7 linked regions of the Sus scrofa genome follow. The protein of the gene in region 6 interacts with the protein of the main gene of each other region in a pairwise test. Links are inferred from orthologs where the notes say so. Each region holds a gene or a part of one and is shown on either strand. Other genes may lie near its edges. The genes, in order: melanoma-associated antigen B18-like, NUDT14, ACAT2, RPIA, NADK, LNX1 and RAD51D.

Region 1 (2,875 bases), on a different chromosome or scaffold from region 6:
ACACCAAAGAAACTGGCTGCCAAATATTAAAATATATAAGGAACTTAAGCAAGCTGGTACAGAAGATCACCACACCAAAACCAAGACTCTTTCCACACAAAACAAATAACTAATTAGAATATGTAATAGAAAATAACACCATTCAAAATAGCATTGATATCCCAAATACACCTAAAAAGAGAACTAACAAACTTGATCTTTATGGAAGCAAATAGAAAAAAAAAAATTACTGATGCACTAAGGTAAAAGAAGACTCAAATAGAACAATATTATGTTTATTTATGGTGAGTAGAATATTGTACAGATGTCAATTCTTCTTAAATTATTTACGGGCTTATGCCTTACCTGATAGGTTTCGCACTGAATCAGCAAGGAAGTAACCCAGCACCTACAAGGCATCAAGGTAAGACACTGAGTGAGGACTGAGTGAAGACTGAGTGAGGAACCCCCCAAATTAAGGGGCCACAAAGGGGCCCCTACTGTCAGTCCCATTAGACTCAGGTGCCCCCCTACTTCCTACCTGGGATTCTGAGTGAAATGAGAACCTTGGTCAGAGGCCAGCTGACTTATCTCAGGAGAGGAAGAAGTCCCAGGCCCTGTCAGGAGTCACGAAAAACTCCTTCCAGAGTTCTGCATGATTCCTCAGTCTCCCAGAACCGAGATAGAACTCCCCATAACCCCACCCCTGCTATAACTCCTGCTGGGAGGATGGGGTGGGCGTGGCAAGAAGTGCTCACCCTGATTTCTGCCACACCAGCCATGGAAACTTAGGCCTAGGTCTGAGGAGTGTGGTCCCATATCAGCAGAGGGAGGAGTTCCAGGATTGGACTGATGTCAAGGTGAGTAATCTTTGTTTGAACTGAAGGGACAGACTCCTCCCAGCACTGAGGTGTCCTCGCAAAGTCCCGCCATATTCTGACATGTTCCATCCCCACCCTTAACCCCAAGGGGCTCAAACAGGGCTGTTAGGCCCAATGCCCCTCCCCAACTCTCAGTGGGAGAATTTGTGGTGTGAGAAGCCCTGGTCTGAAGGGGCAGCCTCAAGTCAAGAGCAGGAGGAGTTAAAAGACTGGTCAGGAGCCAAGTTTAGTATACTGGGTTAGAACTGAGATCACAAGCCTCTGCAGATCAGAGGAGGTCCACAGAGTCTCACCACCCTTGTTTTGTGGTTTCCTAAAACAGTACCCCTAAGAAAATCAGCAAAGGCAGCTTTTCTTGGCAGCCAAGGTGGAAGAATCTCCCTGCTGAGGCTGTGCACACCATTTCTTTCTCTGTCTTCTAGGGCGACCTCTCCAAAAACCTAATTGCTTGAACAACTGTGCCTACTGTCCCTGACCAAAGTCATCATGCCTCGAGGACAGAAGAGTAAGCTCCGAGCCCGTGAGAAACGCCGCCAGGCCCGTGCTGAGACCCAGGGTCTGGAAGATGCTCAGGCTACTGCCGCAGCAGCAGGAGAGTCCCTGTCCCTGGTCCATGCTCTCACTGAGGACAGACCTCAGAATTTATCTGCTGCTGAGACACCTAGCACTCCTGAGGCGCCACAGGGAACCACCGATGCTAGTGCAGCTGTTTCATGCACCAATTCGGATGAAGGTACCAGCAGCCAAAAGGAGGAAAGCTCAAAATCCTCCAGGGGCACTGAGGGCTCACGCAGAGATCCTTTAAACAAGAAGGTGGTTTTGTTGGTACAGTTCCTGTTGCAAAAGTATCAAAAAAAAGAGCCAATTACGAAGGCAGACATGCTGAAGTTTGTTATTAAAAAGTACAAATATCATTTCAATGAGATCCTCAAGAGAGCCTCTGAGCACATGGAGCTGGCCTTTGGTGTTGATTTGAAGGAAGTGGATCCTACCAGGCACTGCTATGCCCTTGTCAGCAAACTAGACCTCACCTTTGATGGAACGATGAATGAAGAAGAGAACATGCCCAAGACTGGCCTTCTAATGATTGTACTGGGTGTGATCTTCATGAATGGCAAATGTGCCCCTGAAGAGGAGATCTGGGAAGTGCTGAATATGATGGGTGTATATGCTGAGAGGAAGCACTTCCTCTATGGGGATCCCAAGAAGGTTATCACTGAAGATTTGGTGCAGCTAAAGTACCTGGAGTACCGTCAGGTTCCTGACAGTGATCCTCCTCGATATGAGTTCCTATGGGGCCCAAGGGCACATGCTGAAACCAGCAAGATGAAAGTCCTGGAGTTTTTAGCCAAGGTTCATGATACTGTGCCCAGTGCATTCCCATCCTGGTACGAAGAGGCTCTGAGAGATGAGGAAGAAAGAGCCCAAGCCAGAGCTGCAGCCAGGGCTCGACTTGCGGCCATGGCCAGTGTGCGCTCCAGGGCCACAGCCAGCAACCTCTCCCATGCTAAGTGAAGTCCGAGGACAGTTCTTCACTTTTGGTTGAAAAGGTGTGGCAATGTTCTAATGGTGGAGGGCTAGGGTGGGACTTGAGAAGTATATCATCGTTGTATTCCTGTTATATATTGCTAACTTGGAATTTTACCTTTCTTTTTCTTTCTTTAGGTTGTATTTCGAATGATGAAATCTAAGAAATATTGTTTTCCTTGTGGAAAAAGAGCAGTAACATTTTAAGTGGGGGATGACCAGTGGGTCTGGAAAGAACACAGCGTATATCATCTTTGTGTTTCTGTTCTCTATGGTAAACTTATAGTTTAATCTTTTGCCTTCCTTTTCTTGTCCCTTCTTTTTTCTTTCCTCCCTCCCTCCTTCTCTCCCTTCCTTCCTGTCACTTTTTCTTTCCTTTGGTTATATTTTAAATGTTGTTTCTTTAATAGAAGGTAGAAATAATTGCAGAATCTAAATTTATTAATTATTTCAGTTACATATTTATTAGATTTAATTTAATAGATTTA
Region 2 (2,421 bases), on a different chromosome or scaffold from region 6:
GACCCGGGCGGTGACTGGGTCTCCCTGGTCGGAGCTGGTGTGGCAGGTCTGCGTGGCCCTCTCAGCTCCCGGAGCACCTCCGCCTGCACTGGCAGCCCTTCCGCCCTCCCTGACTGCTGCCCGCCTCTTTCAGAACGGCACCCAGAAGTCGTGGGACTTTGTGAAGACTCATGACAGGTGAGGTCCCAGCCGGGCTGGCCACGGGGGAAGCCCCAGCCTGATGCCCACGGGGACCCTGTATTTCTGAAGTCCCCGCCCTCATTTCCTTTCACTGGGGGGTCAGCCCAAGGCCTGGGCCCCGAGCTCAGACCTCCTGGACCGTGGTGGGCGACGGGCCCTCTGGGACCCGAGAGAGGCCGCCCGGGTGCCCTTGCCCCTGACATTGGGGGTGTGGGCCGGGTGGCAGTGTGGCTTCAGGAGCACAGCTGGCAACAGCTGGCCAGCAGGGGCCACATGTCTTGTCAGTCACCCGTTCTCAGCTGCTGCCGCCCCCAGCCTGCCCAGCGGCCGCCCAGCGTGTCCTTCCACCCCGTGCCCTCGGCCTGGGTCCTGGCCTGACTGCGCGACCCTGGGGACCTCTGACCCGGCCTGGCCTCACAGTGTCCCTCTGAACAAGGGACCCCACCTTCCCGGGCCTTTGAGGAGAGGCGGTGGGCTGGGCATGCTGGGAACAGGAGATGGGACGCCGGGGCCCCCAGGGCGGCGCGCTGAGCACTGTCCCCGCTGCAGTGTGACCCTTCTCATGTTCAACGCTTCCCGGAGGAGCCTGGTGTTGGTGAAGCAGTTCCGGCCAGGTGAGGGGGCCCGAGCGGGAGCGGGGAGGGGAGGCCCGCGGGTCAGGGCGCGGACGTGGGGAGCCTGAGGCCGCCCCCGGTCACGTGGAGGGGGCCGCCACCGGCTGTGACCGCGGTCTGCCGCCCCCGCCCAGCTGTGTATGCTGGCGCGGTGGAGCGCCTCTTCCCCGGCTCCCTGGTCGCCGCCGACCAGGACAGGCCCCGGGAGCTGCCGGCAGCGCTGCCCGGCTCGGCCGGGGTGACCTTCGAGCTGTGCGCCGGCCTCGTGGATCAGCCCGGGCTCTCGCTGGAGGAAGTTGCCTGCAAGGAAGCCTGGGAGGAGTGCGGCTACCGCCTGGCCCCCTCTGACCTGCGCCGGGTCGCCTCGTACAAGTGAGTGGGGCTGGGCCGTGGGGTCCCGTAGTCAGCGCAGGGGCTGGGCCGGGCTGCCCGGGGGGCAGGGAGCGCCCCGTCCCCAGAGGCGTGCCAGGCAGGGCGAATCCCTGCTCTGCAGCCTGGAGTTGTTTGGGAAGGTTGGCTGGACAGCCCTTCAGCTCCTGATCCAGGCCGGAACCCAGGGCTCCAGGGCCTTGTTCTGTAGCCCCCCGCCCCCCGCAGCCCCGAGCCGTGTGGGGCCTGCTCGGGTGGCAGCTGCTGCTGACTGATGCCTCCACTTCCTGCGGGATTAAGCACCGGGCACTGGCGGTGGGGTGAGTCACAGGTCTGCTCGGACGGCGGCTCGGCAGTGAGGGGAGGGAGAGTCCTGGGCCGGGGCTGGTGGGGGGGGTGGGGCTCGGGCCCTCCTGGGAGGGGAGGAAGTGCAGCCCGGGGCCTGGACGTCAGGGCTGCCCCTCAGAGCCTAGGTGCCCGCCTGCACCCGCTCCCGGGAGGTCACACTGGGGCCACATTCCCAGAACAGGATGGTGGCCCGAAGCCTGCCTTTCCCCTGGGGACATGCGATGGGTCCCTGACCCCGGTGAAGCCCCGGCAGGAGAAGTGCCCCCGACGCTGAGCACCAGCCCCTGGCGACCTTCTCCAGACGGGGAGGGGGCCTCGGGAAGCTCTGCCACCTTTAGTCTAGCGCAGGGGCCACTCAGGGTGGGGCCCTGCCTCAAACACACAGGGCCTCGAGCGTGGGGACGGAGTTGGCCGAAGGAGACGATCCAGGGCCTGGCGCCTCCCCGTTCAGTGTGGGATTTCTACGTCGGAGGATCCAGCCTCTCAGGGAGAGGGGTCTTGGTTATGTGCAGGCACCCTCCACGGGGCCCACTGGTGGCCACTCGGCCCTGGAGCCTTTTGGGCTGGAGGTTTGGGGGGCGGGGGGAGAATCCAAGGGGCCTGAGCTAGGTAGGGTAGGGGCGAGCCGGGGGCAGGCGGAGGTGCCCTGGACGGCTGGGGTCCCCCGAGGAGGTGAGTCTGAGCCGAGTCCCGGCCGAGGGGCTGCGTGGCAAAGGCATGGGGCGGGGGGATGGCAGCCCTGGCTGCTGTGGTTCCGCAAGCCGGGCCTCTGGGCTTGGCCTGATGCTGAGGGTACTCGGGAGCCAGGGAGGGCCCTAGGCAGTGTGTAGCCTGCTCAGCCTGTGCTCTAGAGATGAGGAATGGCTGTGGGGAGGCTGGCCTGGAAGGGGCTGGAGCCGAGCGCTCCCCC
Region 3 (4,139 bases), on a different chromosome or scaffold from region 6:
TATCATGAAAATGCATTAACATCTGTTTGATAAGCATTAAGCAAGTCCCTACTGTGTGTCCAACACTGTCCCAGGTGCTAGAGAGAATAAGACTGGAGTTCCCGGAGTTCCCGTCGTGGCGCAGTGGTTAACGAATCCGACTAGGAACCATGAGGTTGCGGGTTCGGTCCCTGCCCTTGCTCAGTGGGTTAACGATCCGGCGTTGCCGTGAGCTGTGGTGTAGGTTGCAGACGCGGCTCGGATCCCGCGTTGCTGTGGCCCTGGCATAGGCCGGTGGCTACAGCTCCGATTCGACCCTTAGCCTGGGAACCTCCATATGCCGCGAGATCGGCCCAAGAAATAGCAACAATAACAACAACAACAACAACAACAAAAGACTGGAGTTCCCCTTGCGGCTGAGCAGGTTAAGAACCCGATTAGTATCCATGAGGACTCAGGTTCAATCCCTGGCCTAGCTCAGTGGGTCAAGGATCCAGCATTGCCTTGGGAGCTGTGATGTAGGTCGCAGATGTGGCTCAGATCTGGCGAGGCTATGGCTGTGGCCTAGGCTAGCAGCTGTAGATCCAATTTGACTGCTAGCCTGGGAACTTCCATATGACACAGGTTCTGCGATAAAAAACAAAAGTACAAAAAAAAAAGAGCGGAAGAAAAAGACAAAACAAGACCTCTCCCTGGGAGCTCTGGGAGATTAGACTACATTGAGGATTGCGTCCACGGGAAATAGCCAGAGCTGAGACTGGAAAGTGACTGGGGCCAGGCATTGAGGTTCCCAAGGAAACTGACAGATTTTGAACCTTGCCCAGTAGGGGATAGGAGATTGGAAAAGGTTTTAAACAGAAGAGTGATCCAACCTGTTATTAACGCTCCTCTCCTTCCAGACTGTCCCTCTTGTCAACCAGAGGACCCCTTTATCTGGGGGACACTGAGTCACTGCGACTTCCTCACACACCGCTACAGCTCATCTTCCAGGCTAAGAAGGCCAACCCCACAGAAGGGCGCGGAGTCCAGAGAACCAAGTCAACCCCTAAGTGAATTAACACAAAAGAACTTTGGAAGCCACGAGAGCGAGCAAAAAGCACATGAGAACCGCCCGCAGGCCTGCAGGTGGCAGGACTCCACCTAAGCTCAAAATAGACAACCTTATCCCCCCAAATAAAAACGTCAAGACAGGAACGACAACGCCGGGCTGCTCAGATTAAACTCCACACTGGCGGTGGGCTTAGGCCTGTGTCCGAGGTCCACCAGCGCGTCCTGGGACCGCGGCCCCCTCAGCCCCGCCCGACTCCGCCCTCGCGCCTGCGCATTGGCGCCCGCGGAGGAGGGGGCGGAGAGCTGTCTGAGGCCCCGCCCCCCGGGTTGCCTTCTCAGCCGCAGGGCGGGGCTTTGCTCACTCGCTCGCGGCGTGGAGTCCACACCAGCTCGGGAGGAGCTCGATTGTGCAGAAGGATGAGTGCAGGCTCGGACCCCGTGGTCATCGTCTCGGCGGCGCGGACCGTCATAGGTGAGCGATCGGCAAGCCTGGCGGGGGTCTGAGCTGAGAGCTCGGCCGGGCCGGATCTCAGGGACCCCACCCTTCCCCGCCCCCCGGACTTCCCCCCTCGCCCTCCGGGACCCTCGGAACCCGCCGTCTCGCGCCTTCCTCGGCCGGTCGGGTTTCCCCGCCCCCCTCCTCGCCTGGTGAGGGCCTGTCTATTCCGAGTGCTTTGATTGGCTTCCTGGGTGGGACCACTGCGCCCTCCGCCTGTCCCGTTGCGAGGCGAAGAGAGTCGCTCTCTCGCGACGCTCCTCATTGGCCAGCTCCTGGAAGCGCCACCTCGGCCCTGTGGCCACAGGCGCATGGAGACGGTGGACCCAGCCGGGTCGCTGGGCAGGAGTCGCGTTAGGTAAAGGAGGATTAGTGAGAATTGCCCAGTGTCGGTGTAGATTTCAAGAGTCCCGGATGCGCTAGAGTGTCAACCTTTTTGTTAGGGAGGCGTGGGCTGCGCCCATCCTCTCAGACTTCGGGAATGGATGGGCAGGTTTTCTGCAGGTCCGCAGCCTCCCGGCGCGCCCTGGGGGGCACCTGCCCGGGGTGCGTCTGCTGCGAGTCACACACGCCCCTCTCTGTGCCCGGACGAGCTGCGGTGGGCGCCTGTGCAGGGGGAAAGCGCCGGTCCGCCAGCTCCCGCTGCCCTGGGCGCCCTCCCCATTGCCCTCGCCTTCCCTTCTGTTCTAGGCTCCTTCAATGGTGCTTTGTCCACCGTTCCTGTCCATGACCTGGGCTCGACTGTCATCAGAGAGGTCCTGAAGAGGGCCAATGTGGATCCCAAGGAGGTATCAGAGGTCATATTTGGACACGTTTTGACAGCAGGTAACTCCACAGTGACCCAGGCAGAAGTCAGGTTTATTAGAAACAGCCCATTAACCCTCCCCTCCAAACACACAGAAACTTAAGTTCTTGTCTGTGCACGTTTGCTGACGGCGTTCTCTCTGTTAGAATACTCCGTGGTGTCCCTGTGCCAAGCCCCATCAATAGCTTCTCTCAGCAGAACACTAAGCGTCTTTAATATACTTTTCCTTAGGGGTTCCGGTCGTGGCTCAGTGGAAGTGAATCTGACTAGCATCCATGAGGACGCAGGTTCAGTCCCTGGCCTCGCTCAGGGTTAAGGATCCAGCGTTGCTGTGAGCTGTGGTGGACCGCAGACATGGTACAGATCTAGCGTGGCTGTGGCTGCGGCAGTGGCAAAGGCCAGTGGCTACAGCTCCTACTGGACCCCTAGCCTGGGAACTCTATATGCCATGGGTGTGGCCCTAAAAAGAAAAAAATAGAGCGATCCTGGATCACCATCTTTTCCTGCTTTTTCAGTTTTTAGAAGCAGGATCAGCCTGAAGCATGAGAGAATGTATATGCAGGGCCTTTCATAGTTCCCTAAAGTGGGACACATTCAATAAAAATGTATTGAAATTCTTTGAGGAGTTCCCTGGTGGCTCAGTGAGTCAAGAATTCTGCTTTGTCACCGCTGCGACTTGGTTTTGGCCTGGGAACCTGTGCATGCCATGGGTGCGGCCAGAATCCAACCCAACACAAATCTCTTGAGTTCCAAGCAAAAGCTGTGCAAGGTGGTGGGAATAGGGCTTCCCCAGAACAGGTCAGGGCGGTTCCCCGCCCACACACGGCTCGCTTCTGAGCTGGCAAGGTGGGTTCTCCCAGGGAAGGGCGAGTCACCACCCCTGGATGGGCGGGCACCGGTGAACCACCTGGAATGCTTCAGCTTACTTCTGATTCCCGCTGGGCTTATACACCTACGGCCACTGATAGTTCCTAGCTATTCCTAACTAGTTTCTCGTACACTCGGTTGCATAAATTCTAATTATTCATAGGGATAATGGTTCATGCTTACAGCCAACCTTGGTCCTGACCTGATCTGAGACCTGGCCCATTTTTCGGTGCATCTCCTTCGTAGTTTTGTAGTTCCTCTTCCTCATTCTCCTTCACTTGGCCTGTGGACAAATCAGGCACGCCACTTGCTCCAAGGCATTAAATAGATGGGTAGCACCCCGCTGGCTGCTCTTAGGCCACTTCCGCCTTTCTTCTTCCCAGACCCTCAGCTCAGCCTCGTCAGTGGCATAGCGGCCTCCACCCCTGGTTTCTCTGTTACCTCTTTCACATCTCACCTCTGTGGTATCTTCACATAATTCTTGTTTTTTTTCTTTCTTTTTTTTTTTTTTTTTTTTTTTTTTTTGGTCTTTTTGTCTTTTTAGGGCCACACCCGTGGCATATGGATGTTCCCAGGCTAGGGGTCTAATCGAAGCAATAGCTGCCGGCTTACTTCACAGCCACAGCAACGCAGGATCCAAGCTGCATCTGTGACCTACACTACAGCTCAAGGCAGTGCCAACTCCTTAACCCACTGAGCAAGGCCAGGGATCGAACCTGTGCCCTCATGGATACTAGTCAAGTTTGCTACTGCAGAGTCTCGATGGGAACATAAGAGGTTTCTTTTTTTTTTTTCTTTTTTGGCCACCCCACGGCATATTCAATGCCTGTGCTAGGGATCATTCCAGCCACAGCCGTGACCTAAACTGCAGCTGCAGCAACACTGGATCCTTAACCTGCTGTGCTGGGCACCTGCGTCCCAGCGTTCACAAGACACCACTGA
Region 4 (3,500 bases), on a different chromosome or scaffold from region 6:
AATCATCCAAAAACTAACTGTAGTTGCAGTCAGAACTATATAAAAAGGTGGAAACATAACAGGAAAAAAAAGCAACTCATCTGTAATTCTACCCTGATGAATTTTTATTTTGCTGTGTTTTTTCCCGGCGTTTTGGTGACTTTTTAAGTCATAGTCCCAATCATGGTGGTTGTGCAGAGCTCAGACTCTGGCTCCCTGTGTAGCTGAAAAGCCAAGAAGAGATAGTGGGGGTTCTCTCATGGCTGGGGCCACACAATAGCCCAGCACCTCGCCTTTGTGGGGTTCTTAACTGGGCTCCCACCCCGCCTCCTCCAGTTTGCAGAGGAGTCCCGTTTCCTTGCCCTTGACTGTAGTGTTTTCTGTCACCGTTTGTGATCCTCAACTCTAGAAAGTGCCCAAAGCTGTCGTGGATAAATTAACTAAAATTACTCCCAGCCTGTTTGCTCTAGGACCTGTCTCTGCTCCCTGTCTGCTGATGGGGCTGCCTGAACCCAGGGGGTGCATTGTCTTCGTGTTACTGATGGTTCCTAATGTGAAGCTGTGGGAGTGTTGTACCTTGGTGGTGGTCTCTTCTGTTGCTGTGGGGTGTTTTTTTTTGGTCTTTTTGCCTTTTCTAGGGCCACTCCCTCGGCATATGGAGGTTCCCAGGCTAGGGGTCCAGTCGGAGCTGTAGCTGCCGGCCTATACCATAGCCACAGCAACGTGCCATCTGAGCCACATCTGCAACTTACACCACAGCTCACGGCAACACCGGATCCTTAACCCACTGAGCAAGGCCAGAGATCGAATCCACAGCCTCATGGTTCCTAGTCGGATTTGTTAACCACTGAGCCATGACGGGAACTCCCTGCTGTGGTTTTTCACTCTGATAATAGCTAAGAATCGTGGAGTCCTCACTGTGGGCCCCCATTGTGAGCTCCCACTGTGCTAAATGCTTCCCCATGTGGTTTATAAACTGCCTTATGAAGCATGTTTCATTTTCCCTTTTTTGCAGTTGATGAATCTGAGGCTCACAGAAGTTAATAGCTTCTCTGAGATCTAAACCCTGTGTAGCTTTAAGACTCCAGTTCTGACTCCAAGCTCCTGCTCCTTATTGCTTTGTAGCACTGCCTTCTAGGAGCACAAGGCGGGGGTACTGGTTAGAACAGGTTAATTAAGTATTGGTCTTTGGTTAGCACTTCTGCTCTTCTACCCCTTTCTGTCCACCTGTATCTACATCCTCTGTAAATGTGGGAAATTGTCTTCTAGGGACCTGTGGTGACAGATAATGGAAATTTTATCCTGGACTGGAAGTTCGACCGGGTCCACAAATGGAGTGAAGTGAACACAGCTATCACCATGATCCCAGGTAACGTGTGCGGTGCTCGCTGAGCCTGGATGCCCATGCCCCTTGGAACTGTCCCCTGCCTTGGGCAGCAGGAGGCATCATGGAAAGAATTTCCTTTATGCAATGGCTAGGGATTTTAACTTAACACTTTTGCTTTTTCCCCTCTGGGAATAGTCATAGCTCACCCAGCAGCTTTGTTATTTGGCAGTTCACAGCCTGTTTCAGTAGGGATAGGTCTGGAGCTGACGGATTGTCAGAGGGGCCTGGCCTTGAAATCAGCCCACCCTCTCCCTGCAGGAGCCTGACTGCAGCCTCTTTGTTTTTTGTTTTTCTTTTATTTTTTAAAGTTTTATTGAAGTAGACTTGATTTATAATGTTGTAAAAGTAGGATTGGTTCATTTTTTTTTTTTTTTTTCTTTTTCAGCCACCCTGTGGCATGTGGAGTTCCCGGGCCAGGGATTAGATCTGAGCCACAGCTGGGGCAATGCTGCATCCTTAACCCACTGTGCTGGGCCAGGAATTGAACCTGCGTCTCAGAGCTCCAGAGATGCCTCCGATCCTGTTGTACCACAGTGGGAACTCCTGCAGCCTCTTTGATTTTGGCATGTTCTCTGGGAAAGAGTGACTCTTTCACCCACATGCATTAGGCACCTGCCACAGGCAAGGTGCATGCCACGTGTTATGGGGCATCTCCCGCCCGTGGAACGTAGGGTCTGCCTCAGGAAGAGTTAACAGAGCCTGGAGGGAGCTGTGCCTACAAATAAGACAGAGTGTGGAATGCCAAGAGTCTGGAGTTGCTTCTTCCACAGAGGAGTGGTGACTTCTGACACTGTGCCAAGTGTCTGAAAAGGTCTCGTTTGGTCCTAACTTAATGAGATGGTTATAGAGGAGGACGCAGGTCGAGGACATGTGTGCGTGGCTTCTCAGCACCAAGCTGGGCGCCTTGATTGTCTGCCCTAGACCCTGGCCTTTCAGCCCTTTCCTCAAGAGCCAGATTGGGGAGGGGTCGTGTGACACAAGCGTGCGGAGCAGTGGGGAGCCTCCAGTGCAGCTTGTACTGGGGACCTGGGGCTTGGCTGGAGGGCAGTGGAGAGGTGATTCTGAGTCCAGGCCAGAGGTGGTATTGGGGGCTCCTACGAGGGATTTAAAAGAGGAGGCAGATGTATGAGGTATCCGACTTATGATATTGAGCCACTGAGATTCTAACCGGGAATGTTACACGACGTGAAATATTCTTGGGCCAGAATAGGCTGATGGGTCTAATAGATGGGTAAGGTCTTTAGTAGATTGTAGTGTCTGGTCATGGATTCTGGAGCAGACAGCCTGGGTAAGGATCCAAACCCAGGCTCTCTCTCTGTGTGGTTCGTTTCTCTCTCTCTGCCTCAGTCTCTTCTCTGTAAAAGACGCTGCTGTCAGTACCTACCTCACAGGCTTGTTGGGAGGATTAAATGAGTTAATAGGGTGCCCAGCACACAAGGGAGTGTTTGTTGAATGAATACATTGCTAGGAAGAAAGGATACTGTCTTCATCATTAATTAAATGTGCTAGATTAGATTTTAATGTATCCATGCTCTTGGGAATTAAATACATATAAATGTATGAAGTGAAAAATATATAGCCATGTAATAATAAAGAGCTAATTCTTCCAATCGTACTTTAATTTACTATTTTAATCTTTTAGTGACAGTCTTTTTCCAGATTTACTAAGTAAAAGAGATGGGTAGATTTATGCTTATTCTCTCACTTGGTGTTATCTTTTTATTGGAAGAACTATGGAACCAAAAAGGCAGGAGGAAGGGGAGTCTAGAGGTCACGGTTAGTAATAACAGAATTAGCCCCAGTGATCGTGCAAACAAACAGCTCCCCGGTGCTGGCGCTTGTTCCTCTGTAGGTGGATCCTTGCATTGCCCACTCGGTAGCTCTGTTGCACCTGCTTAGACCTTTGTGGGCTTATTGAGACGTTGAGATGTCCTTCGTGAGCACATTTCTCCCATACTTTGCTCTCCACCTCACTGCATCCTGAGAAGCTGAGGGTTTTTTAAGGGATGTAAAGTGAAGGAAATGGCAAAAGAGAGGCTAGACGTTACATTGTTTAGTGCGGTGTCACCAGGGTCATCAGCATGGTCTGTTCTCTGTCTCCTTTTCCTCCTCGGTCTGTTTTAATACTTGCTGC
Region 5 (3,469 bases), on a different chromosome or scaffold from region 6:
CAGCCCGATGGGATGGACCATCCGGGAATGGACCACCCGGGGCGGCAGAGCTCGGGCGTGGCGTTTGTTTTCAGTGGCGATTCGCCAGGAGGGTCCCCCCGAGGTAGGAGGAGAGAAGGCAGTTTGATTGGTGTGCATTTAGGTCAGGAGGCGCCCGACGCTGCTCTGGACACGGCCTCTCGCAAGGCGCTGTGTTAGCAGGTCAGAAAGGAGGTGTTTGGAGCCAGGGTGCAGGTGGGGAGTTGGGGCGCTGCTTTGCCTTCCTCTCCTGCCGTTCACCAAGCATGGCCGAGATGCTGTGCACAGAGCCCCAGCCCCCGCAGGGCCCCGCTTGAGACCAGGCAGAGGAGGTAACGGGTGACCTTCCCCTGGCAGAAATGCCTGGAAAGGGTGAGTGATGGGTGGTCGGAGCACAGGGCCAGGGACCCGCCCCTCCCTTTAGGGGTTCGCATCACGATTTTGAAAGTTGCTGGCGAGGCCATCAGGTGCTGAGGGAGGCGCTGTCCCTCGAAGTACGGTTTGGAGCAGGTCTTGGGGACTTGGCGTCAGAGGGCAGGTCTTTTGCTGCCACGCACATCTCAGGGCTGTTTCCCAACAGTCTGGCGGGCATTTCTGGGGTACACACGGCAGTCATAGCCCCCGCTAGGGGGCTCAGCCTCAGGACACCCCTGCCCCCAAGGGGACTTGCTGCCCAGGGATCTCGCCGGTGCAGGGACCAAGGTGCAGGGACTTATTTTTTAACTATTTGAGCAGTTTTAGGTTTGTGCAAAAGCGAGGGGAAGGGAGCGGTCCCGCATCCCCGCCCCCTGAGCCTGAGCCTCCCCCACCTTCAGCATCCCCGCAGAGGGGGCGCTGGTTACAAGCGGTGAGCCTGCGCGGACCTCGGCCCACCCCGAGTCCCTAGTTCCTTCCGGGACCTCGTGCTGCGCGTCCTGAGCTGTGGACAAACGTGCGATGACTCGTAGCCGTTGGGATGGCGCAGAGCCGCCTCCCTGCCCCAAATCCTGCCTTTGACTTTGAAACAGAGTGGGTTTTGACTGTGAAGGTTAAGGGTCAGCCGAGCGGCTCACCCCCACCTCTGAGTCCTGCCCCCGCCGATCCTTGTTGGGCCGGTTCGGGCGCCTGCGCCGTGTCTCGGGGGCAGGTCCCGCTGCACCTTGCGGAGGAGCCGAGGGTAGGGGTGCTGGGGGGGGCGACGCTGCCCGGGATTCAGCAGCCTCGTGGTCGTGTCAGGACAGCCCTCAGTGCGGCCGTGGCGGGTGTGAATGCTCCCCTCCCCTCCCAGGCACATCCAGGACCCTGCCAGCCAGCGGTTGACGTGGAACAAGTCCCCCAAGAGTGTCCTCGTCATCAAGAAGGTCCGGGATGCCAGCCTGCTCCAGCCCTTCAGGGAGCTCTGCACGTACCTGATGGAGGTGAGCGCCGAGCGGCCAGCTCCCCGCACCCCCGTGCTCGCACCGGCCTTGCCTCGGACCCACGGCTCCTTGGGACCACGGTGCCCTGACCCCCGCTCCGACCACAGCTGCAGGAACAGGAGCGTTCCCGCCTCCTGCCGGTGCAGTGGGGCTGTGCGGGGGCAGGCGGTTTGGGGAGCGGCCTCCCCTTGCCGGCAGGGCCAAGGCGCCGAGCGGGCTTCTCGAGGACAGCCCAGGCCGCGCCGCGTCTTACCGGCGGGCTGACGGGTGGCGCCTTCCAGCAGAACAACATGATCGTGTACGTGGAGAAGAAAGTCCTGGAGGACCCCGCCCTCGTGAGCGACGACCACTTCGGGCCGATGAAGAGGAGGTTCTGCACCTTCCGAGAAGGCGAGTTGCCCCCGGGCCCCGCCCCACCGGGCAGCCGCCCCGCCGCCGCCACCGCCGCCAGGCCGCTTGAAGGCTGCTCTGGCGTCTGCTGTTCTGCTTATAGATTACGACGACATCTCGAACCAGATCGACCTCATCATCTGCCTGGGCGGCGACGGGACGCTGCTCTACGCCTCCTCGCTCTTCCAGGTGGGGTGCTGGCGCCGTGCGGGCCGGGTCCTGCTCCAGCGGGGCTGTGGTGTCTCTTCAGTTCATTATTTGGCGATGGGGTCTGCAGGCGTGGGCAGCTGTGCTAGGCCCCTGACGGTCCCCTGGGCTGGGCTGGGAGGAGGCCCCAGGCCTGGCCCCTTGCTGGGCGATGGGCCAGCGCTGGGGAGGAGCTGCAGGCCGACCGTCAGAGCCCAGCGGGGTGCCGGCGGGCTGGGCACCACGTGCTGCGAGCCACCGGGCTGGACCGCGCACGGCTCCCACTGGGCAGAGGAGGAGAGCGAGGGTCCTGGCAGGTATCCCACCCCCTCAGAGCTGCCCAGCCGTCGTTTCTCAGCTCCCACCACGGGTGCCCTCCCCATCTCCCCACTCCCCGCCCCCCCGCCCCCGCCCCACCTGCTCCTCCCTCCTTTGCGGGAGCAGCTCTCAAGGGGCTGCGGAACTGCCTTTGGGGCAGCCCTTCCACCCCTGGCCCCTCTGCTCCTCCCCGTTGTCTCTTGCGGTCTCTCCACGCTCCCGGAACCTGCCCCAGGGTCCCCGCTCTCCGCCACTGTTCCCCTGGCCTCCCTGACCCTTGGCTGACCTCGTTCATGCACCACCCCCTCTGAGTCCGCCCCCTCCCCGCAGCGGGCACCGACGTGCACCTAGCGCACGTCCCTCCCGGGCTTAGGCGGGCGAGGGTCCGTCAGGGCTGGGGTGGCTCCGGGGCTTCTGAGTGACCTGCCTCCTCGGCTCACAGGGCAGCGTGCCTCCAGTCATGGCGTTCCACTTGGGCTCCCTGGGCTTCCTGACTCCCTTCAACTTTGAGAACTTTCAGTCCCAAGTTACTCAGGTGATACAGGGTGAGTTGGAATGTTCCAGAACCCTCGAGCAGTCCCCGAGGCGGGATTGTCTTCTTACCTGGCGTGGGTTTTTTCTAATGATGCGTAGGACCACATTTGAGTGTTTCAGGACTCAGAGACTTCTGAGTTTGGGGTGGTTCAAGCGTTTTTCCCTGACGTGAGACGTTGGAGCTCTCACAGGATCAGGCCTCTGTACGTGCCCGGGGGCAGTGAGCTGAGCTCCACAGGAGGCAGGGCGGTGCTCGTTTGGGAGCAGAAAGGGCAGGGGGGCGGTCTCTGGCTAGGGGGGCTCTCTTCCTGTGGGCGCCACAGCCCCCTTCCCTGCTGACCGGCCTGGGCGTGACCCCTGCTGGCCCCCAGGCAACGCGGCTATTGTTCTGCGGAGCCGCCTGAAGGTCAGGGTCGTGAAGGAACTCTGCGGGAAGAAGCTGGCCGTCCCCAACGGGGTCAGCGAGCACGGAATGCTGGCCACAGCCCTGGACGCGGAGCTCGGGAAGCAGGTCATGCAGTACCAGGTCTGTCCGGGTCCCTCCCCCCCCGCCCCCCGGGCTGTGCCCCCCCCCGCCCTCGGGACCTTGCCAGCGCCCAGGGCCGCCCGGCACTGCAGCCCCTGAG
Region 6 (3,500 bases):
ACAAAGTTTATGATTATCATTTTTTCTAACTTCACTCTCCTGCAGCTCATTAAGAAAAACAACTGAAGGCCAAAAAAAATGTTTATTGATTGATCATCCAGAAGACTTCCTACATGTTAACTGGGCATGTTAAAAACTCCATCTTAAACTCCTATACCAAAGGGAGGTACACAGTGTGATAGAATTTTACCAGTTTGAATAAACATACGTATAATTGAATGAAAGAAGCCTACTAAGAGTTCCCACTGTGGCTCAGTGGAAATGAATCCGACTGGGATCCATGAGGATTCGGGTTTGATCCCTAGCCTTACTTAGTGGGTCGGGGATCCAGCATTGCCACAAGCTGTGGTGTAGGTCCCAGGTGCAGCTTGGATCCCATGTTGCTGTGGCTGTGGCGTAGGTCAGCAGCTGTAGCTCTGATTTGACCCCTAGCTTGGAAACTTCCATATGCCATGGTGTGGCCCTAGGAAAAAAAAAAAAAAAAAAAAAAAAAGAATACTATTAGAACGAAGCAAAAAGACTCCTTATAAGAATTATAACTTTCAGTTTACAGGCCAATTAAGCTTGACTGGAGATAGAATGACTTCAGTGGCCAATGCATGTAAGAATAGTTAATAGTTAGAAAGCCCTTACTATATTCCAGGCATAATTATAAAAGCTTTATGTCTCATATCTCATTTAATACTCACAACAACCCCATGAGGTCACTATTATTACCCTCATTTTAGCTATGGAAACAAAGGCCTCAATCATTGGCCCACAGTGGTGGTAGGAATGGCCCAGGCCATGTGGCTCCAGAACCTACTTCATCACTAATGACTAGAATAAATGCAAGGCACACAGCAGAAAACAGTGCTTTCATCACCATAAATTACAACAGCCTCAACTGCTCCTAGTTCCTCAGATGATTTAGTTGAAGATTCTGAGGTCCCATATTTTCTGAGTTTTGGAGAAAAGTTGGGGCAAGAATCAGAGAAAGCCATCAGAGCATTTACTGTTTCTTCTTCTTGTCCTGATCTGACAAAGAACATATTATATATATGTGTGTGTGTGTATTTTATATATATATATATGTATGTACATTTATGTATATATGTATGTGTGTGCATATATGTGTGTGTGTATGTGTATATATATATATGTGTGTGTATATATATATATATATTTTTTTTTTTTTTTTTTTTTGCTTTTTAGGGCCGCACCCATGGCATATGGAGGTTTCCAGGCCAGGGGTCCAATCGCAGCTACAGATGTTGGCCTGCACCACAGCCACAGCAACACCAGATTCGAGCCACATCTGCAACCTACACCATAGTTCACGGCAACACTGGATCCTTAACCCACTGAGCAAGACCAGGGATCAAAACCTCAACCTCGTGGTTCCCAGTCAGATGCATTTCTGCTGCTCCATGATGGGAACTCCTGACAGAGAATTTTATAGATCATTGGTCTATTGGATTAACAATTTACATTTCAGAAGGCAGATTTCTGGGCACATCGCAGATTTTACCCAAATGATTTTCATCGCACCAACAGGAGGATGTTAATGGTAAATATTATTCCCACTGGAATAGGTGGTTAAACTGAGGCCTAAGGAGGCAAAGCCGCTGGCCCCAGGTCACCTCAGTCACCCTCGTGGGCACTCACCCTGGCCTCCCTGGGGCACAGCTCATGGGCACTCACCCTGGCCTACCTGGGGCACAGCTCAGCTCAGTTCTGTCCACTAGCCGCATTGCCTCACGTCCATGATAGCATCTTCAGTGAGCAGTCTTGCTCTCTTTCAGGTTTGTGGATGGCACCAAGAAGATCTTGATTTGCTCCAGAGGAAATACTGTATCCCCGGGGTTGGTTTCCTGTGCTCCTGCCCTGCCCTGCTGCCCAGCTGACCATGAACCTGTCAGACCCCGCTGATGAACCGGACCTCAGCCCTGCACCCCTATGTGTGGTGTGTGGCCAAGCCCACTCCCCCGAGGAAAACCACTTCTACACTTACCCAGAAGAGGTGGACGATGACCTCATTTGCCACATCTGCCTGCAGGCACTGCTGGACCCTCTGGACACTCCCTGTGGACACACGTACTGCACAGTCTGCCTCACCAACTTCCTGGTGGAGAAGGACTTCTGCCCCGTGGACCGCAAGCCTGTGGTCTTGCAGCACTGCAAGAAATCCAGCATCCTGGTCAACAAGCTCCTCAACAAGCTGCTGGTGACCTGCCCATTCACCGAGCACTGTGAGGAGGTGCTGCAGCGCTGTGACCTGGAGCATCACTTTCAAACAAGGTAGGGAGGGGCTCCTCCTCGGCCAATCCTGAGAAGCCCCGCCCTCATGGTGGCTGAAAGGGCGGGGCCTTCCGAGGCCCAGGTGCGCTCAGAGATGGTCCTTTCTCTGCCTTCTGCTTTGCAACCAGAGACAGTATTCATTCAAAATAAGAAACGTTTTAGGTGTTCACGGCTGTGGTTCCATATGAGGAAAGAGCACGTGGTAAAATTGTGGGATGTGAGTGTACGCTTGTGCTTATAGGCTGGTTTTTTCTATAAAATAGACATAACATAAAATTTACCATGTTAGAATTTTAAGTGTACAGTTCAATGACATTGAGTACATTCATTTTGTTGTGCATCCATCACTAGCATCCATCTCCAGAACTTTTTTCATTTTTCAGAACTAAAACTTCACATCCATTAAAAAAAAAAATGAGTTCCCACTGTGGCACAGCAGGTTATGAACCCAAATAGTATCCATGAGGATGCGGATTCCAACCCTGGCCTCCCTCAGTGGGTTAAGGATCCAGCATTGCCATGAGCTGTGGTGTAAGTCAGATGCAGATAGGATGTGGGGTTGCTGTGGCTGTGGTGTAAGCCAGCAGCTACAGCTCTGACTCAACCCCTGGCCGGGGAACCTCCATTTGCTTGCAGGTGTAGCCCTAAGTAGAAAAACAACAGCAAAATGCATAACTTTCCATTCCCTCCTCTCCAGCACTGATAACCACCATTCTACTTTCTGTCTCTATGAATTTGATTGCTCTACAAACCTCATATAAGAAACATTGCTGGTGTCTGTCCTTTGTGACTAGCTTATTTCCTTTGTGTGCATTCAAATTGTGAAAGATACTGAAAAAAATGACAAGAAGCTTTCTCTGGGGCTTACAGTCCCCTAAAAGATTTCCTAGTAGGCATTGCCTGTCTTTTTATGTAAGAAAAGCATGTCTCCTAATTTGGCCCATGATTGTTAGAATTGCCTCTGCACAGGAAACCTTTGGGAAAAGCCCAACCATCCTTTGAGGTATGGTATTTTCAACTAAGTTTTAAAAGGGAGAAATTTAGGAAGTCCCTTTTGTGGCTCAGTGGTGACGATCCTAGTATCCAGGAGGATGCGGACTCGATTCCTGGCCTCGCTCAGTGGGTTAAGGATCCAGCGTTGCCCTGAGCTGTGGTGTAGGTCAAAGACAGGGCTTGGATCCAGCATTGCTGTGGCTGTGCTGTAGACCTTTGGCTACAGC
Region 7 (3,981 bases), on a different chromosome or scaffold from region 6:
TCCAGACTGCCCAAGGCCTGCCTCCTCCACAGAGCCTCCCAGACAGTGAAGTCCCTTGCAGTGACCCATGGCAGCTGCCATTCTGCCAATTTTCCACCTGACTGTTTCCGAAATGCTGCTTCAGTATATGCTGGTTTTTTTCTTCTTTTTTTTTTTTTTGTTTTTTGGCTTTTCTAGGGCCCCTCCCGTGACATATGGAAGTTCCCAGGCTAGGGGTCTAATAGGAGCTGTAGCCACCGGCCTACGCCAGAGCCACAGCAACGCGGGATCCTGAGCCGCGTCTGCAACCTACACCACAGCTCTCGGCAACCCACTGAGCAAGGCCAAGGACCAAACCCACAACCTCATGGTTCCTAGTCGGATTCGTTAACCACTGTGCCATGACGGGAACCCCCCTTCTTCTTTTTTTCTGACCGCCCCATGGCACATGGAATTCCCAGGCCAGGGATCATATCCTAAGCCACAGCTGCAGCAACACCAGATCCTTAACCCACTGTGCCAGGTTGGGGATCTAACCTGTATCCCAGGGCTCCCAAGATGCTGCTGGTCCTGTGGCACCACAGTGGGAATGCCTGGGCTGGTTTTATAAATTCCCAAAGGCCAAGGCTGCTCCCTGTTAGTCACCACCCCCAACACACACGTGCCCACACCCCTCTCTTCTGTCCCTTGCTTTTCTCTACCCACCAGACCCCACACTCCTTAAGTGCGAGGGCCTTGCCTCACGCATATTCGTATCATTGGCATACATCTGTCACCTATAGGCACTTGGCCAGTGCTTGATGAATGACAGACCTGGACCCCCAGCTGCAGAAAGCAGGCGCCATGCTATATGAACCTTGCCAAGAGGACATGCACGGGAAAGAGCAAAGGCCAAACCAATCCAAAGACCTTGGTGGTGGCAGTGCTCTTTATCAAATTCTGTACAAACAGGCCAGGAAAGAGGTCAGCCTTCCTTGGCCAGAAGCCGCCTGTTTTCTTCCAACGCGTTCCCTCTCCAAACTGCACAGCAGAACATAAATCACTCCTGTCCCTTCCTGCTGCAGAGTACAGCGAAAGAACCAGGTTCTGGATCAAGTGCGCCAGGGCTGGAGCCCTGGCTGGTATATAGTAGGCACTCAAATAAATGGTATTCAGTTGTGCTCTCTTGCCCCATCGTTTTTTTTCTTTTTGGGGCTGTGCCCGCAGCATATGAAAGTTCGCAGGCTAGGGGTCAAATTGGAGCTGCTGCCGCCAGCCTACACCACAGCCGCAGCAACACCAGATCCAAGACCCGTCTGTGACCTACACAGCTCACAGCAATGTCAGATCTTTAAGCCACTCAGCAAGACCAAGGATCAAACATGCATCCTTATGGATACTTAACCCACCTCAGGTTCTTAACCCAGTGAGCTACAAGGGGAACTCCCTGCCCCATCCTTAAGTGAAAGGGCAGAAAGGGCCAGAGAAAAGTTGCTCTGATCTGTGGAATAATATCTGTGGAAGTGCTGACATCTTGTGTTACAGGACAGTGATTCTCAACCAGTAGCAATTTTGGCCCCCAGGGTCATTTGGCAACAGCTAGAGCCATTTTTGATAGTCATGACCTATGAAGGAGAGGGGTGTAACTGGCATCTACTGGGGTGGAGGCCAGGGATGCTGCCAGACATCCTACTATATGCACAAGACAGCCACCCCCAAAATTATGCATCCTAAGTGGTTAGGAGTCAGAGAAACTCTGTACAGGGTAAGATAACTCAGAAATCCTGACCCCCCTCCCGTGTCTCCTTCAACCACAGCTGAAGCAGCCTGCTCTTTCTCAAGCATCAAAAGCCCAGCCAGAGCCTCTGGCCTCTCGCCTTCTGCCCCAGCTACACACACACAAACCTTCTAATGCCGGTGGACAGGATGGCCGTGGACGTCTTCAGTTCCTCGTAGAGATCAGCGCCATTGCAGGGAAAAGCGGAGAACTGAGCCAGCAGCACCCGCCTCAGGGCGACCAGGGCCTGCGGAAGGGGCGGGGCAACTCAGGAAGCTGCCGGAGCAGCCGGGAGTGTGCGGCAGCGACCCGCCAAGGGAGGGGGCCATCCAGGGTCTCCTAGCCCCCCCCTTATCAATCTCTGGGGACACTCTGCTCGGGGATGGGCATTTAGAGACACCCATGTTGGAGTGTGGAGATCGCCAGCTCACCTTATAAGACAAACCACATTTCTGGGCTACCTCCTCCAAGTCTGCAGAAACCAGGTCCACCACTGAAAACAAAACACGCGGGGTTGATGCGCGCAAGGGAGGCCCCAGACTCCCGCCCGTGACTTTTCCTCGCCTACGCGAACTAGCGGAGCCGCGGGGGCTGGCGCGGCGCCTAGCCCACAGTGGGGGGTTCTAGCCCTCCTGGAGCGGGGCTTGCCCAGTCCCACCCTCCCAAGCTCTGCCAGAAGGCTGTGGGCGTCGGAGGCAGGGGAGGGGCCCCACCCAGTGGGCCAGGGCCGGGGCCAGCCTCCGCGCTGGGCCCAGCCATGTGGCCCGCACAGGCGCGCGCCCACGGTCACCTGTCTTGATCCCGCGGCTCTGCAGAAGCTGGACCATGTCCTGAGTGAGGCCGGGGCACAGTCCGGCCCGAAGCACGCCCATGTTCCCTGGAGGCCCCGGGGCCGCTGGTCCTGGGGGCATCCGCGAGGCCCTCTCCAGACACCCCGCAGCACCCCCTTCCGGACCAAACGCTGGGGGCTGGCGTCGGGAGGAGGCGGCGCACAGGGTGTGGACCCTGCCTGGTCTCCCGCGCCCAGGAGCCTGCCTGCCCGGCCCCGCCGCCGCTTCCGGTTTCCAGGCTCCAGGGCCTGGCCTGCGGCGCCACCTGCCGACCGCCGGGCGGACGGGAGGGCTCCCGCGGCCCCGCGTGGGCGGCACGAAGTTGGGTCCCCTGCCTTTTCCCCATCACGCCTCCTCGCCAGCCTCCCTGGTGCCACTTTCCATAATGAACGCTGGTCCAGAACGTTGGATGGGACCCACCATCCCTACTCTCAGGGACCTACCTGTTGGTGAGGGAAGACAGTGACAAAGAATCTAATCAGATCCTCAGCAGTCGTCTGATAGGTGCTTGAAAGCAGCAGCGCGCAGAGAGGACATCTGCTTCTGTTTTCCAAATAAAAGTAATTTTGAATGATCAACAGTAAAAACCCTGAGTATATAGAACACACACACACACTTTTTTTTTTTTTTTTTTTTTTTTTGGTCTTTTCTAGGGCCGCTCCCATGGCATATGGAGGTTCCCAGGCTAAGGGTCTAATTGGAGCTGTAGCCACCAGCCCGCTCCACAGCCACAGCCACGCGGGATCCGAGCCCCATCTGCAACCTACACCACAGCTCACGGCAACACCACATCCTTAACCCACTGAGCAAGGCCACGGATCAAACCTGCAACCTCATGGTTCCTAGTCGGATTCGTTAACCACTGCGCCACGATGGGAACACCATGTGATTTGGTATTTTGAAAGATCTTTTCTTAACCTTACCCTCTGGAAGAGAGAAAACAACTTTACAAGGTTATCCTCTTACAATCCAGTGAGGTAGGTTCTGTATTTACCCCTATTTTACAGACGAGGAAACTGAGGCTCAGTGCAGTAAAGTCACTTGCCAAAGGTTTCACAGCCTGTAAGGACAGAGCTGGACTTGGAGCAGACGAATTTATATTTCGGTGCAAAGCCAGTGCTGTTTTAACAGCGCCCCCTCCCCACCCCCAAGTTGTGTATATGTTTCCCTACTGTGAAGTGGTTTCATTGAGAACAGAAACATCTGGCCCATTTCTGTCTGCCTCTGAAAGCACCCACTATCCCTCAAGACGTGATGACACTGGGGTGAGGGCTCAGTAGAATTTAGAGTTTTAGCAGTAAACCTGGGTATATGTGAGCTATGAACCATCTGGGTTTTTCCTGTGCCTGCACAGCTAAGACATATGAGGTTTGCTGCCTAGGATTTCTGGATATAGAGCCTGTAGACAAAGTCACT

Evidence for each region.
Region 1: the proteins of LNX1 (region 6) and melanoma-associated antigen B18-like interact in binary tests that used the Homo sapiens proteins (3 or more experiments, as listed by UniProt). The link is inferred for Sus scrofa from reciprocal best matches to the Homo sapiens genes LNX1 and MAGEB18.
Region 2: the proteins of LNX1 (region 6) and NUDT14 interact in binary tests that used the Homo sapiens proteins (3 or more experiments, as listed by UniProt). The two-hybrid records come from large-scale screens. The link is inferred for Sus scrofa from reciprocal best matches to the Homo sapiens genes LNX1 and NUDT14.
Region 3: the proteins of LNX1 (region 6) and ACAT2 interact in binary tests that used the Homo sapiens proteins (3 or more experiments, as listed by UniProt). The two-hybrid records come from large-scale screens. The link is inferred for Sus scrofa from reciprocal best matches to the Homo sapiens genes LNX1 and ACAT2.
Region 4: the proteins of LNX1 (region 6) and RPIA interact in binary tests that used the Homo sapiens proteins (3 or more experiments, as listed by UniProt). The link is inferred for Sus scrofa from reciprocal best matches to the Homo sapiens genes LNX1 and RPIA.
Region 5: the proteins of LNX1 (region 6) and NADK interact in binary tests that used the Homo sapiens proteins (3 or more experiments, as listed by UniProt). The link is inferred for Sus scrofa from reciprocal best matches to the Homo sapiens genes LNX1 and NADK.
Region 7: the proteins of LNX1 (region 6) and RAD51D interact in binary tests that used the Homo sapiens proteins (3 or more experiments, as listed by UniProt). The two-hybrid records come from large-scale screens. The link is inferred for Sus scrofa from reciprocal best matches to the Homo sapiens genes LNX1 and RAD51D.

Annotation. Positions count from the first base shown.
Region 1 is NC_010461.5:22,081,666-22,084,540, forward strand, and holds melanoma-associated antigen B18-like, read left to right. Parts: upstream 1-1,251; 5' UTR 1,252-1,346; coding exon 1,347-2,375; downstream 2,376-2,875. UniProt on the Homo sapiens protein: May enhance ubiquitin ligase activity of RING-type zinc finger-containing E3 ubiquitin-protein ligases. Proposed to act through recruitment and/or stabilization of the Ubl-conjugating enzyme (E2) at the E3:substrate complex.
Region 2 is NW_018084979.1:3,291,497-3,293,917, reverse strand, and holds part of NUDT14 (uridine diphosphate glucose pyrophosphatase), read left to right. Parts: exon of another isoform or gene 1-46; intron 47-133; coding exon 134-177; intron 178-729; coding exon 730-794; intron 795-928; coding exon 929-1,166; intron 1,167-1,351; coding exon 1,352-1,483; intron 1,484-2,421. UniProt on the Homo sapiens protein: Hydrolyzes UDP-glucose to glucose 1-phosphate and UMP and ADP-ribose to ribose 5-phosphate and AMP. The physiological substrate is probably UDP-glucose. Poor activity on other substrates such as ADP-glucose, CDP-glucose, GDP-glucose and GDP-mannose.
Region 3 is NC_010443.5:7,610,062-7,614,200, reverse strand, and holds the start of ACAT2 (acetyl-CoA acetyltransferase, cytosolic), read left to right. Parts: upstream 1-1,339; 5' UTR 1,340-1,446; coding exon 1,447-1,501; intron 1,502-2,215; coding exon 2,216-2,350; intron 2,351-4,139. UniProt on the Homo sapiens protein: Involved in the biosynthetic pathway of cholesterol.
Region 4 is NC_010445.4:57,359,449-57,362,948, reverse strand, and holds part of RPIA (ribose-5-phosphate isomerase), read left to right. Parts: intron 1-1,248; coding exon 1,249-1,348; intron 1,349-3,500. UniProt on the Homo sapiens protein: Catalyzes the reversible conversion of ribose-5-phosphate to ribulose 5-phosphate and participates in the first step of the non-oxidative branch of the pentose phosphate pathway.
Region 5 is NC_010448.4:63,849,620-63,853,088, reverse strand, and holds part of NADK (NAD kinase), read left to right. Parts: intron 1-1,285; coding exon 1,286-1,415; intron 1,416-1,696; coding exon 1,697-1,805; intron 1,806-1,908; coding exon 1,909-1,994; intron 1,995-2,751; coding exon 2,752-2,854; intron 2,855-3,214; coding exon 3,215-3,369; intron 3,370-3,469.
Region 6 is NC_010450.4:40,346,535-40,350,034, reverse strand, and holds part of LNX1 (E3 ubiquitin-protein ligase LNX), read left to right. Parts: intron 1-1,784; 5' UTR 1,785-1,888; coding exon 1,889-2,280; intron 2,281-3,500.
Region 7 is NC_010454.4:40,052,996-40,056,976, reverse strand, and holds the start of RAD51D (DNA repair protein RAD51 homolog 4), read right to left. Parts: upstream 2,801-3,981; 5' UTR 2,647-2,800; coding exon 2,526-2,646; intron 2,229-2,525; coding exon 2,167-2,228; intron 1,983-2,166; coding exon 1,864-1,982; intron 1-1,863. UniProt on the Homo sapiens protein: Involved in the homologous recombination repair (HRR) pathway of double-stranded DNA breaks arising during DNA replication or induced by DNA-damaging agents. Bind to single-stranded DNA (ssDNA) and has DNA-dependent ATPase activity.